Caenorhabditis elegans: one gene and its partner. The protein of the gene in region 1 purifies or fractionates together with the protein of each later gene. This does not show direct contact. Each region holds a gene or a part of one and is shown on either strand. Other genes may lie near its edges.

The links.
Region 2: the proteins of C44H9.5 (region 1) and K08F4.5 fractionate together in Caenorhabditis elegans (co-fractionation; one large-scale study listed by BioGRID). This does not show direct contact.

What each region holds. Positions count from the first base shown.
Region 1 is NC_003283.11:12,843,556-12,853,310, forward strand, and holds C44H9.5 (uncharacterized protein), read right to left. Parts: upstream 6,310-9,755; 5' UTR 6,244-6,309; coding exon 6,189-6,243; intron 5,918-6,188; coding exon 5,469-5,917; intron 5,423-5,468; coding exon 5,329-5,422; intron 4,994-5,328; coding exon 4,868-4,993; intron 4,817-4,867; coding exon 4,722-4,816; intron 4,647-4,721; coding exon 4,532-4,646; intron 4,230-4,531; coding exon 4,146-4,229; intron 4,102-4,145; coding exon 4,000-4,101; intron 3,948-3,999; coding exon 3,643-3,947; intron 3,598-3,642; coding exon 3,364-3,597; 3' UTR 2,536-3,363; downstream 1-2,535. Other genes in the region: C44H9.6 (DUF19 domain-containing protein), read right to left, coding at 1-96, 139-232, 282-373, 422-556, 605-914, 959-1,101, 1,220-1,250; C44H9.7 (uncharacterized protein), read right to left, coding at 9,460-9,741.
Region 2 is NC_003282.8:10,133,217-10,139,084, reverse strand, and holds K08F4.5 (uncharacterized protein), read left to right. Parts: upstream 1-3,167; 5' UTR 3,168-3,220; coding exon 3,221-3,284; intron 3,285-3,433; coding exon 3,434-4,017; 3' UTR 4,018-4,153; downstream 4,154-5,868. Other genes in the region: K08F4.12 (Ovule protein), read right to left, coding at 1-96, 796-961.

The DNA.
Region 1 (9,755 bases):
CTCCGTCACTGATCCAGTATAGTTTCTCAGCTTGGATGGTATCTGATCCGATACGATGAGAGTTTATTCTTTTTACAAACGAAAAACTATTATACTCTGGAAAATTTTTTAATGTAATTTTCGAGAGTATTTCATCACCGAAAATGCCCTTATTGACAAATGGTAGTTGTTGTTTCAACATTTCAATATATTCCAAGCAAAGGAGACTTGTTTCACTTTTCTCAGCAATTTCCTAAAACAAATTTTAAGTTTCAATGTTTTATGCCGCTTGAGTATCAAACCTGCATTGTTTCACTAAATTCGATTGCACAATTCGAAAACATAGAGTTTTCCTGGCAGTCTGCAAGTCTTGCCAGTTCATAATATACTTCAGCTGAAAATGATTTACATAATTGTGTTTTAATAATTAGAAGTTACTCACATCCTTGTTCTTCTCCACAAAGATGATATGCCAGATGCCGATCAACTTCTTTCAAACATTTTTGATTTCCAAATACACTGTACCAAGTCTTGATTGGTGCATTTTCTTCCCATTTGTTCGATATTTGTACTGTTTCTGAAATAAACTATTAGCATCTCAGATCTAATTAGTTTTTTATTTTACTTTCTGTTTTCGATTCTAAATTTCCGCCTGATTTCATAGGACAATGACAAGATTTTGAAACCATCAACGGAAACAGTTTTGATAAATATACAGGCTTGGTTTGATTTGGGAAAAACGATAGTTCACAGACATCGGAATGTATTATTTCCTCTGTTATTCCCAGTATTCTTGATTTCAAATTTTCACGGTTAGTAGATTCATCAGCCCCCATGGTTTCTGTAATGTTCTGTAAGTAGCTATGACAGAAACTGTGTCCATTCTGTTGTGCGGTATAACGATGTCCTTTTGACAAGTTCGTGGGAATCAGTGCCTGAAAAATTTAAGAAAAATTATAAAAGTTCAGATGATGCTCACATTTATGCAATGCAACAACTGATCGTGGCAATCCGATTTAAGCGTCATCAAGCAATCTTCGTTATGTGAACCACATATGCTGAGAGCGGCTTGTTCTTTGGGGCAATAAGTTTTGAATTTTGTCAACTCATTGCTGGCGAAACCTTAAAAAAACACTTGAAATGTAATATTTTAAAACAAATAACCACGTCTCCTCGCGAGCGTAAATAAATAAATTAATTAACTACGTTTATTGATTTGTTGACAAAAACTGGAACTTACCAAATAAGATCAATAGAGAAGGATTCAGCATTGCTAATATGTGATTCGAAAGTCACAAAATCTGAAATATTGAAAATTATTAGAAATTTTAAAATATTTTATTGTTATTTTACTATTTTTATGTACTTCAGGCCGAGAACGAGAGGAGGTTTGATTAGAGCACACATGCAACGATGAGTCAATATCAAAAAAAAGTGCATTACTTTATGGCGTGATTTTGCAAAATGATACATCTGAAATTAGTGATGAGTCTTTTCTGAGAATTAAAACAAATAAAACACATCGAATCTTTGTTTAATATTAGTCTGTTAACATTGTCTCGCAAAAATATACTAATTATTCCACTCTGTCTTTGAAATTTCAGTAGTTTTTCTTAATTTGAAAAAGTTTCCATCTTGTTTTTAATTTCGCGTTTCAAAAATCATTTTTCCGTAATACTTATATACATATTTAATACAAACCCATCTAATAACAAATTCGTGATCAGGTTCCACTGTTCCAAAAGCAGTTCATAGAGTTGGGTTGATAAATATCTATTTCATCTATCATCGTAGCGCTGAAAATTAACAAATAAGTAAAAATATTAGATAAAATCAATATGCAAAGGAGTTTCGATGATTATTAGTATAAATTTGAATGACATGCTATCATGAAAACACTCCTGCCTATTCAAATTAGACTCTTATCACCGGTATGCTTAAACGTATTCACTGTGTATTTTTCAGAAATTTCAATCATAATGCTGGACATTAGGAATATTTCTTTCCATTTTATGTTCCGTGTGTTCTCATTAAAAATTAAGGAAAAAAATGAAGTAGTTTTTAAAACAATTTTCAGGCTAATTTTTGTAAATTACAATAATGTTTTAAAGTTTTGAGATTCTTCCAAATTAGATTTGAGGGCATTTTTTACTGATTTTTTACTTTAGCACACTTAAAGTGATTTACCACATTTTCCCAAACGACAATTCGCAACCTTTTCGGTATCTAAAAAGCGGCCCGTATTATTTGAAGACCTTAAACATTGTGGGGAATACCAAAGAACTAAAAATAACTACTGAAATATTCTCAAAAATTGCTTTGTGAACAAATTTGAGAACTCTGCAAAACATTAAACAGACAAATTATTATATGTTCAGTTTCAGAATTAAATATGCATTGAACTGTAAATTACATTCTTAATACTGTTTCTAGTTTTTTTTTTCTTGGTTATCACTTTCAGTATGAATGATCTAGTCCATAGTTGTCAAACTTTCAGCTGTTGTGTTTTTTTTTTGAAAATCAGTTTTTGTAACCTGAAATTGAAAAATCATTTCGGTTTGGAGAATATTTATTTGTACAAATAATGAACTGGCAACAACTTTCATAGTCTTATATGGTTTCAGATGATTGTGCCAAACGGACACAATTTATCTGGCTCCAACCGTGATTTATAGACAAATATTGTAAGAATAAGGAAACCGGATGTCATGCTTGAGTATGTTCGAGGTGTATTATGAGATTTCGGGTTTGATAAATGTAAGGTTCTAACAATTAAGTACAATAGTACAACAGTTTTGAAACAACAGAAAATAGAAGAAAAAGAAATAAAAGTCAATTAAAATTAAAAAATGAATATGAACATGTAAACAGTTTTTTGTAAAAAATAAGAGAAAAATCAAACTGGAGAAACGTTTCTTGGCAAGAAAAAAAATTATTGAACTATTAAAAAAGGTATTAGTTTTAGAAACTGTTCAAGGTTCGGGCAATTAAATTTACAATAACAATGTTCTCATAAAAAATCCTAATTATTGACAATTTTGATACTTTTTGATTTTTTCTGATATTATATTTGAGCCAACGTAATGATTTTCAAATTTCTCGATTTTCTTTTCCAAAAAAATTGCATAGTGCTTCAAATTAAGAAGTTCCTAAAGAAATCTAGGATGGTGAAATTTTTCATACAATCTATACTATTTATTTACTAACTTCACTTCTATTCCTACTGAAGATTCAAGAAAGTTTTCCCAGTTTGCTAAATAGTAACGTGATACAAAATTCATTGATCCGTAATTGCATTGAGATCATTTTCAACTCTCGGTTTTTCGAGAGATTACGCCAAGGATCTCAGATTTACAGGTTTTTCGTATTAGGAATGTCGGTAAATTAGGTGTAGTGTTTGAGTTCTTCTTGCTGTTCAGCTTGGTTGTTTAATATTTTTTCAACATTTTTTTCGTTGCTATTATTGAGATCCGTGTAGCTAGAACTTATTGAGTTGATGACAACCAATTGCTGATGAAGAGGAGAGTTATCAGCAGGAAGAAGTCTATTTCCATCACCTTGATGTGGTGGCTCACTGGGTCCGGAATTACGTTTGCAAGAACGTTTCTCAAATTTCATCTGGAAAAAAAGTAATTTCATTCATGAAACAAGTAATATTCTTACCAGGAAAACAGCTGTAATCAAAACAAAAAAAATAATTCCAATGACAATTGCACCAATTGCACCAATTGTTTGAATGAACCCAGTCTCGGCAACTTCAACAGTTGAAGAATATTTTTCCAACTTTGATGTTGCATTTGTATCCGGATACAGAACTTTGACAATATTTCTGATTGCATCTTCACAAGTATAATCCATCTCGTTAATATCATTCAGACAAGTTGACAAACGAGTTTGACAGTCTCTTCCAAAAAATTGAATGCAATATTCGAACATGAACCCACATGAAGCAACAACACCTGCAGATCCTGTTTAGATAGTTTTTTGAAAAAATTTTTTTTTAAATTTTTGGTAACTTACTTTTCGATGCGCCACATTCCGAAGAAACACTATCAAAGTAGTCAAGAAGGCGAAGAGGCAATTTTTCAGATGCTTCCAAAACAAGAAAATCATTTTTTGTATCTGAAAACATATAATTTAAGTTGAACTAAAACCAAGAAACACACCTCTTCTAGTCATCGATCCATCAACAAATGATGTAAATCCCTCATTGAATCGACCCCTTATACTTGTAGTCGAAGAAACTTTGTCTGAAAAATTAAGTGGAAAAATACCCCTTTGACATTTGGCGCTCTGTTCTTGCCCACGTTTCGCCCAAAAATGTAAACTTGAATCAAAAGAAATTAACTTGGGTGAGAGTTTGGCAAAAGTTGGATCAACGTTGCGTTAAACTCGGGCGCAGCGTAAACTATGTATTGTCTTTTTATCGAAACTAAACATTTTTTGAGAGAAACTTGGACGGGATGACGAGAGATTTGTTTAAAAATTTAATTTTAAAAAAATCCATTTTAAAATTATCTGAATCTTGATAAACTCATATTAAAATTCTTACGATGTTCTGCAGCTTCCTTATAGAAATCCTCAGCTCTCAGTGATTTTAAGTTTTCATTAAAATCAACGAACATCTTGCAAACCAGTTTTTTTGAATCCATTGTTCCCAGTGTCATCTGAAAATTGGATAGCTTTGAAAATAATAATTAATTCTGTTTCTTTAAAACCAACAAAATAATTTTTAAAATTACATAGTTTCCTTCGCTGTATGCTTCATCACAGTCCTTTTGATCTTTTTGTTGGTCGTAGCAGTTGACACGTACAACACTATGATGATTGAAATCCACTAAAAATTAACAAGTTTCATAAAATTCTTAAAGAGTAAAAAAGTACTTACAAGACGCTTTATCACAAGTTTCATACGCCAATGACCTCATGATCACTTTTCCTATTGGTCCAAATTCAGTTCCAATGTACCAGAATGGATATGGTATGTGCAGTCGTTGGGCATTCATACTGTCTACTGAAAATCGGTCATTTTCTCTTAAAGTTAAATTTTCCAATAGTGAATCTAATAGGAATTTATAAAATGTTCATATCTATCGAGAATGATATTGAAGGTAGATTAGCCAAATCTGGGTTATTGCTTTAATACACGAACTGTCCGTAAAATTTCTTCTGTATGGACAAGTGTGCAAAATTTGAGATTTGTGTTGAAAATAGCCTTTTTTAACTTCGTGTCTCCAAAAAATACTTTTGAGAAAATTTTAAGAATTATTGCTATTAAAAGACTTGTTCACCGTTTTAATACGGTAACTACAAAAGTACAGAAAGTATATTTGACCTCAAAAAACCCACGTTTAACCAGAGTTTCTTGGAATGACGTCTTCGAATTTTGGCATGTTGTAGAGTTGAGCATTTGAGACTCGAGATTACGAAGAATTAAGTACTTCTGAACATTATTTAGATAATTTTCAATTATTAAAGGAAAAACTAACAAGAGTCAAGTTCAAAAGTGGATTCTGAGTGTCAAGTTGGCTGACAGCTTGATGTAGTTTTTCTTCCATTTCTGACACCACGCCACAATTTTTTAACAGACTAGAAAACGCATCTGAGAGTTTCATAAAAATTGCTTCTAGTTTATTCACAACTGTTTTCGTTCGATTTTCGGCGATCGTCTTTCGGTATACTTCTCCTTTCGTTCGCACCGACTGACAAGAGTCTCCAAAATGTTTCTGGCAAGTTTCGGTAGCTTCACTGACGTGTATACAAGTGCAGTAATCCAATTTGCAGTCCTCAACAGATCTCAATTGTCCAAAGCAATCCTCGTATTTTGGTACACAGAAATCAATTCGTTTCGAAAGATATGGACATTCATTTCGGAATCCTCCTCGGGATAAACTAGCTGGATAGAGAGCATTTGGGTATTTGATGGTGTTGATGGAAACTATAAAGAAGTTTGAGTGAATTCGTTCTTGGATTTCGCTGCTCTTCTAAATTTATCTTTAAAAGCAACAAAATTTCCCTCATTATCATTTTTCAGTTCATTTTTAATGCTACTAGTTGTAATCCGCTAACAGTCTTGAGTTCTGAAAACAATTGACAGTTCGTTCGTTCAAAATGTATCTGACAAGATATTATGGCTAACCATATTATTATTTACTCTAAAATATGTATTATTATTTATCTCCGAAATTTTTTTTAACAATTTAACTTACTGGCTGTGGTGGCACTTATCGCCAGAAGTGTAAGGAAGGCCAATTCCAGAACCATGATGGCACGCACATAAAAAGTGGACCCGGCGATGCTTTAAAGATGTTCCACTATCCAATAATGCGACTGAAAATCAATGTCGATATGAAAACGAGAATATGATAGATAGAGACGGTGAATGACGTGATTGTTTGCGAACGAACAGTGCAAACCAAAGTCACGGGTTTTAAGAAAAATTACTAAATTCAATTTGCAAGCAGGAAACATCAATTAAAGAACAATGTAACTTTGACAGAGTAACTATGGAAAAGAAACAAAACATAAAAAGCGCCTGCCAAGGCGGGAAAATGAAGAGTTTATCGGAAACAAACATATGGTTCCGTAAGAGAAAGAGCGAGAGAATGAGAGATAGAGAAAAACGATTTGAAATTGAGTGACCGTTTGAATTTTTAATAAAGTATTTGTTAGAAAATTAATGTAATTAAATGATTTCGATAGTGCGTATAAAATTAGATAGAGTTTTGTTGAACAAGCCTGATGCGAGTCCAAGATTTAGACTGCTCTGCAAACATTATATGAGAGGGCTAGACACGGAGTAAGATGAAGAGAGTTTAAAGAAAAAATGTGATGGGCGTCGCTCATAACTGTTGTAGTATGGTTTCTACTTATTGGCTAATATTTATGGACCATTTGAAACAGATATTAACAAATACTCACTTAAAAATAAATACGGAAAAAAGTACTACGAAATTACGTAAAATTGCGAAATTGATCGGGAACCGGAAAACAAAAATAAGGTATGAGATTGTGAGATAAGCTGCATCAAAAGAAAAAAGAGATCCCAGAAAAAAAAAGTTCTGTAAAAATGAGTTTCAATTACCGGTAAAAAGTATCGAAACAACTAAAAATAAAATTGTGCGCATTTGTTGCGGCTTTTGGACATTTCACATATCTATGTGGTAGAATGTCCTTGATAAAATACTTTTGATTTTACATGAAATGGGCGGGATTTGAAAGTCCTCGGTATGACGTGTTCATTAGAATGGCATAGGACAATTCATGATAGAATAACAATATCAGGATTTTGTTGTAAGTTCATCTTCAAAAATTATTCAGAAAATCCGAATGAATTATCCTCTAACCTTGAATAATCAACTAAAAATTAGCAACGTCGGGAAAATTTCTCGATAAGTTCAGTCGGTAAAGAATAAATTTGGATTTTTGTAATTTTGCCAATGTTCAAAAAAAAGCTAACAAAAATTCTTAATCGTAAATACACAATTACCAATAGTTCTCGCAAAAATGTATCTAGGGAATGTAGTTGGAAATGACATTAAGATCTGATTTTTCTAATTTAGTTAGGCATAGTTATGGTCTCTCTAATCATCGATATATATGTAGGTAGGGTTCACAATAGTAAGACTAATAGCAGCATTTAAGTATATTTTCCATTTTGAAAACATGTTAGTGTTATCCTTATAAACATAATAAGTACAAATAGAAAAAGGAAGGAAGAGGAAAATGAGTATGATAGAAGTAAGAAACTCAATAATGAGTCTGCAAACACTTGTTCAAGGTGCTTGATTTTTGAACAAGCCAGTTCAAAATGATGGGATACCGGGCGAACACTTCAAACTACGCGACTTTTTATATATATTTTCCAGTGATTAATCTATTTGTTTTAGAGTTACTTTGAAATGTATATAGGTGCTTCTTCGGATGAAAAGTTACGTGTAACAAATTTAATTAACACTTAGTCATAGCACATCCTAGCACATAGTAAAACATTTTGTGAAAACGAGTTGCTTTTCATTATCACAAACGTTTTTGTTTATGAAATTTATAAAGCTGTACAAGTATATTTTTCGCGAAATGAATAGTTTTTGCACTGAATGCTGATTTGAAAAATCCTTACAGAAATTAAGAAATTATATGATAATGAGGTAAAAACTCTCGAAAAACAATAAAGATCCACTCACTGTAATTTTAAAAATTTTTAACACATGCATACATATAAAACTAATATCGGAAAAAAAGAAAAATACACCATTCAAAGTTGAATAAAAAGCGATCCATCAAGGACATGTTTGAGTGAATAAATGTCAAGTTAACTGAAAATGGAGGCGATCGAGTTCAACATCAACTAGTCGACAATGCAACGTTGATTTGGCTCCACATTGGATTAACCTAATATCCGTTGTTTTTTTCAAATTGAGGCGGTGAAAAACAATAATGGAGGCAGAGAGATGTTAGAGATATTTTCGAAAAATAATTAAAACAACTATAAAATGTCCCAAAGCTGTAGTTTTGTCATAACTTTGTATTTGACTTTGAATGAAATAAATAAACCAGGAGAAAATCGAGAAGAAACTCATTAAAACGAGAGAGATTTCGCAATGACACATAGGTCATTAATCAAGCATGGCGATCGTCAATGCCGTTGAATCTTGTTTCTTTGAGTTTTTTTCGCAACTTTCAGAAAAATTTTGTTTGTCTATAGATATAAAGTAATAAAAAATCAACTAGAAATGACAATTTTAAAGAATAAGAAAATTATGATTTTATATCAGTTTACAGTTTAGGGAAACATGAAGTGCAATGAACATGTGTTATTGCCAAAAAATAGCGAGATAGTGCAATCCTGAAAGAAAAATATGAAAAGTATTACCGTTTCAGAAAATTTTAGTTTTTTCACAGCAGTGACTCCAATGATGTTACAAACACGGCCGATTGTATTGATGATCATCCTATCGGAGCAAAAATTTCGCTAATTTTTGTTTGTTCGACACAACCACTACCATATGTCTTCGCCTTATCAAAGGTCAAATGCTGTTAAGAGTCATCATTTTAATTAAAGATAAAAATAATAGACAGCGCAAAGAAAAATACAGGTATGTTGTTGACTAGAAAAATTGAAACGTTCTAGCGCAAAAACCGTGACTGGGCCAGTGGTTTTAAACATTGAATTTGTCAATTTCTTTGCAATCAAAGCTTGGTAAAACTTCACTAACTCCAAAATTTCTTTCGAGTTGTGCTTGTAGTTTATCGATTTATAAGCTTTGATTTTTTGTTTAAAAGTTAGTCTTGACGTCCGACTGCAAATAACGAACTTCTTATTTTGCGATAGCGTTTTTTTTTATTGCATCCGCCGATTTGAAAATCAAAGAACAATGTTAATATTTATTTTAACCGTTTTTTTAACAGAAATCAGCTATTGAAAGAAATCAGCTACAGAAAAAAATCAGTTTGAAGAAATAATTCCGACAACTATTTTAATTATGGCGATAACGAGTCCGCCAATGGGAGTTTTTCCAAATGACTTTTATACTTGAATTCCCGATTCTGGTGGCGTCTTTTGCAGATTGAATAAATAATCAGAATCATTCCAAAAATAATTATACCAATAAGAATCCACAATTGTTGCTGCACCATGGCCATGAAACTGTCGTTTGCTTTTTCAGTGATTTTAATACTACTCATTGCCTCAAAGTTTGCAACCCATTGGTGATACGGAAGGCATTCATTTGCGATTGATCCATATCCATTGTTGATAGCACCCTGAAAAATTTTTT
Region 2 (5,868 bases), on another chromosome or scaffold:
TTTCATTAACATCATCTTCCTCTTCGTGAACTGTTGACAAATTTCTGTCGAATTTTCGAGTCTTCCGTTGAACAGGAGATGATTCTACGATTTTCTCTAAAATTTAAATTTTTATTTCCTAGAAACATAAACCAGTTTTAGTTTGAAACAAATTAAAAAATATCGGTTTAATACTTCCGTGGTGTTGGTCATTTTGTTGATATTTGTCGTTTTGCAGCAAGTGCTCCAAAGATTGCTACATTACAAAAAATTTTTCCGTATTTCTTCTATTAGAAAATTGCTAATTTTAGGAGGCATTTTTAGGATAATACAGAAATAGGGTAGGTAGGCAGGTACCTAGGCTGAGTAGACGGAAAAGCGTAATACTAATTTTTGGACAATTGTTATGTGCTTGAGGTTGCTTGTTTTCATTAACAAGAGTTGAAACATTGAATAGAAATTTAGAATTATTGATGCTAATTGTAAGTACAATAGTTTGATTATATGATGCTAATATATGTAATTGAAAGAAAATTTTTATTTCGGTCAAAACGTCACGCTTACTCTGTTTCTCTCACATAATTTTAGAATTCGAACAAAATAATTTTTTTTTTCACGATATGCCCAACATTTCTCAAAACTCTGAAAAAATGGACAACTTGCCAAACGCTTGATCGATTTTTGTCCTATTTTTTAATACATTTAAATAAACTTCCTAATGGTGCTTTTCAGCTTTCGAATCCTTAAATTGTGAGTTCAAAAAAAAACGGTATTTAAATAAATGTCATAAGTTTGGATGAATGAGTAAAAAATTACCATCAGCATGTGATTCAGCATATCCACTATAATTTCTGACTTGTACCAACTTCTTTGTGATTGAATTAGATTTTTTGAGGCATTCTGAGTTTGATGAGGATATCTTCTGATTCTCCACAGTCTCATCATCATCATCCGCCCATTGAACTTTTCGAGCTCGTGTCATTTTTTATTTGATTGCTAAAAAATTAGAGAAAATATTTATAAATTTTGGAAATTGTAATAGAGAAGTTTAAAAAAGGATATGATACATGCATAAATGTTTTGAAATGATCAAGAATGAATGGAAAACGTGCGGTTTTATAGTCAAACATGAGGGAACTCATTTTGAAAACTGAGAATAATGAAAACAAATATGACTGATAATAGAAGGCGGATTCTATTTTTGAATTCATACATCAAAATTCGAAATACAACAGTTTGTCTGAAAATGACCCGAAAACCATAGGAAGTGACCAAATACAGATCGAATGACAACAGATAGACTAGTTATTTCAGAGAAATTGAAATGGCATGGACATGAACAACGTTTGATTTTTTGAAGAGAAAAATGGATTATGTTATGCAAATCAGACAACGACTTTCAGAGAATTTGGGACAGTGATCAACGAATCGAAAGGTCTCGAGTACCGAAAAAAAGATATGTCAAATGACGGTTAAACGACGTCATCTAAACAAGTATGACTATGAAATCAGTGAAAATTCTAGAATTACAAATCAAATAATCATGTGCCTATTTTAAGTCCAACTGAGCACAGTCTAGCACATTTTAATATCAGTTGTTTGTTTCAAATGAAAAATGTTTAAAATAAATTTCAGGCTTTCCAAATAGAACCAAGACCGCTTTTATGTCTGTCTTAAATGCGAGCCTCTTCTTGTGTAGAAACGTTTGCAACTTTATAATAAATGATTACTATAAACTAAAAATGTTAAACTTGTAAAGAGTTTCAGCTGTGCCACGTAAATCTATAACTTACAAATACCAAAATGTGGACAGATAGGAGATAGGTAAGCACATTGACAGGCAGGCACGTACGCTTTGAGGGACCTTATGAAAACCATTTAATTTAAAATTGGCAATTACGTTTTAAAATGTTAAATTTTTCATTCTTGCCCAAGTTTTTTTCGTTTTCTTTTGAGGTATCTTTTAAATTTTACCCTATTTTGGGTATTTTAATACGAAATTCCTTTTGACGCTAGATCCCCTTTACAAATAGAAAGCAAAAACAAAATCTTTAAATCGAGTGCTTTCAACACAAAAAATTTCGAAAATAGTCCGTTGTTGTGGACATTTCCAATGGGAACATTGTTTTGATATTCTTTGGTGTAACTTCCAGTTTTCAATTTACCCAAAACATTTTATAAGTTGCATACATAAATTATTTAAATTGAACACAATCATAGCACGGATTGTTTTTAATTTCATCTAGTTTATTCCCAAAAAGAATTTGCGGAAGTTATACCTGTTGTTTTTTAATTACAAATAAGTATAGCTAACTTAAGATTTGATTTATATGATTGTTCTAAATATACATAACTGTTCTAAATCAATTTGATCAGAATAAAATATTAACTTCAAACCAAAGGAAAATAAAGAAAAAATTTTCTGCAGAGAATTGAATGAACCGTCATGAAAATGGAAAAAAAGTTTATATTTTCCGTTGCTTGACGCCCCCATAACTGCCAGGGCAAATGACAAAACCAATTCGAATGGGAAAATATTGAATGGAATATGAAGAAAATATATGATAGAAAGATGTGATACATTTATGAATTGAATGTACGTTCGAACTGTCAATATTTGAGTGGGAGAAGCTATATGACGTCAGTTTTTCATGAAGAATATGGCAATTGGAAAACTCACGGCCGACACATCGGCAAGGCTTGAAACATATTTACTCTAATAAAATAATGAGAAAAATAACCAAGAATGGTTGGTACTAGATCTCTACAATTTTTCCAGCATTTTGAGTTTATTGTTGTCAAAATGTCAAAATGTCAAAATGAAGATCAAAATGACCACGGAAGGAAATTGTAAGAAACATTGTACAAAACAAAATTCATAACTTGATTATTACCGATGGAGTTTTAAATTTTTGTATATTGTTAAAATGCACGTACTGGTTTTCATTATTTTGGTACAAAAATTCAGGTTTTTCAACAGAACATTTTTGTCAAGCCTATAGGCTTGACAGAAATATTCATTATAGGGAAGACGAATAAAAAAAAAACTTTTCCTTTTTTTAACTTAAAAAAAATTATCACCAAAATTAATTTCAAAAATAAACTTTGTCATGCTTATCACCACGTGAAATCTGACTTCCCATTTAAAATGAAAAAAAAATCAAAAACTCTCTCATAACGAGATTCATACAACGAAAGATCGTCGAGATCAATTCATTTCTCGATTCTTTTCTAACGTACGATGAGTTCCTTAGCAGAGATTCATGGCTTGGCCCAACTATTGGTATTGGTTTTTACTCTCGTCGGTGAGTTGGATAATTTTTAAAAAAGCTGTGTGCAAATATATCTGCTTTAAAAAGTCGCTAATAGTAATATTTTGCGTGAATTTGAAATCAGGATTTTTTCGCTGAAAAATTACAACAGTCGAACGGAGCTTTACAATTCAATTTTTCAGTTACTGCCCATCTCTGTGGCAAGAAGGGCGCAAAGAACAAAAAGAAGGAGGACAAGACAAAAGCAATGTCGGCTATCAAAACCACCACAATGGGTTCTACTACAGCCAACATGCATCCAGCAGAGCCTGTAGTGGAGAAAAAAGAGGAACCAAAGGAGAAAGTTCCAGAGAAAAAGGAGGAGGAAAAGAAGGACGCCACAAAGAAGGAGGAAGCTAAAGAGGAGAAGAAGGAAGAGGAAAGGAAGGAGGAAAAGAAGGAAGAGTCGAAGGAAGGGGAGAAGAAGAATTCAGGTGAAGAGAAGAAAAATAGTGGAGATGAGAAGAAGGAGGAAGGAGGAAAGAAGGATGATGCTAAGGATGGGGAGAAAAAGGAAGAAGCTAAGGAAGGAGATAAGAAGGATGAGGATCAGAAGCCAAAGAAGGAGATTGTGCCAGAAGTCTTCAAAAGAACTTCTAAAGAAAAAGCGATTGCTGATGGTGTCAAGAAGAAGAAGACGGACTATCCAACTATGGAGGACGTTCCAAGTGATTGGGAGAGTGAGAAGAAAAAGAAGAAGAAGACTGAGGCAGATGATAAGGAATAATTCATTGGAAAAGCATCCTCTTTCTTTTTTGTATATTGTAAAATTATGTATTCTCGTCCTCCATAGCTTGAGGCTTTAGTAATCATGATGACTTTTAATTAATGTTGATTAATTCAAGAAGATGTGAAAAATTTGATTTAACTCTTCGCTGATGGCTCATCCAGTTTGACTCAAAAATTTGACATTGACCGATTAATAGGGCACACAATCCTGAAACTGGTTCCAAACTAATTTTTTGCAAGTATTTAATAATTTCTTTTCAGTCAGTGTCTAATATTTGTTAGCTGACATTTTTTGAAATTATAGTGAAAAAATGGCAATTATTCAGTTCTCAACAATAATAATTGTATAAATCAACCTTAAAAAGTTTTCCAATTCTCATTTGTATTTAGTACTAGTACAGTATTTCAACATTATATAGTATTTCAAATCTGCATTAACACTCAAAGATTGTCAAAATGTTTAAATTCAACTGGAAATCTTGAAAATCTACAAGTTTTTGGGAGGTTATTGAGGCAATTTGTTTGTAGTCTTCAATTAAAGTTCTTCTCGGGGAGTACATGACACATTATCGATAGAGCACGTTTCGAACTTATTTTTTATTTCCACAATCCCCAATAACACGAATAGTTTAAAGATGGTATTGAAAGAAAAGTTTTCGAATTTTTTTTAGTTTTGAATTTTGAGAAGTTTTCATGAAGTTTCATTATGAAATTCGGTGTTTTCAGACAATTTTGAGTCTAATAAAGCAATAATAAAAATTTCCATATCAATTCTACCAAAAGGGCACAATTTTTGTTTTTGTTTCAACTTACAGATTTCTTGTTTCATTCTGTAAAAATTCGTTTTTACAGAATGAAACAACAAGAATAAAAAATCTGTTGAACTAAAAATAGAATTACTGTTTCTGAACGTTGTTATTTTTTACCGTCTCAGAAAACGACCGATCAGTCATTACTGTCAAGTATTTCAGAACTCCATCTCTATAAAATCATAAACTGGTTGGTGTAGATAATCGAGTGATTTGAGACTAATTTTTTCAAAATTGGATTCTTCTGGATTCAACAATGCTGTTCCTATTTGTAGATCAAAGATTGTTGGTACTTTGTTTGAAAATGGTATAGGAGGATATGGTTGATAAGAATACAAATGAGTTGACATTGGAAAACCAGCTGGCAGAAAATTCAAATTTCTTATTTCTTAATTTGAATTTCTCACGGTTTGAGAAAAATTTCTTGTTCTTGTTTCTTGGGCAAAATTTTACCAAAAAATTTCCAAGAAATTTATTTTTAGAGTTTAAAAGCCGAAAGGAGAAAAACCTCAAAGCATGAGAAATTCTGCTAGTGTTTGTTCATGTACCAAAGTATTCGTTTACGGACTTTACTATTCAATAAGTGCAAGTTTTTGATAGTCTGATTTAATTTTTTACCATTTTTTGTGATTCTAGTATAAAATAGTGAGTTTTGAGTTTCTTGGTTTCTTGAAATCCTCTTCAATTTTTCTTGGCTGGTTTTAACCAAGAACTTTTGTTTCTAGCTTTTGGCAAAATAAACTTCTTGCGCCCGCTGCATGGTAGGTAATTTTAATCATTTATACAAACTTTTTCAAAACAATAATATTACTTTAAATACGTGATGTTCAAGAAAAAAACCAAAGATTTATAAAAACCAAAGAGAATGTAGAACACCCTACTTATTGAAACCCAGAACATCATCAGCCCTCATGGAGCGTCTCGTTCAAATCAAACGTCTTGGTCCTTCATAATTGTTCTATTTCAATAAAGCTTGAAGAAAGAAATGTTTATACAATTAGTAAACAAAACATGCTATGAAAATAGTATATTACAACCGT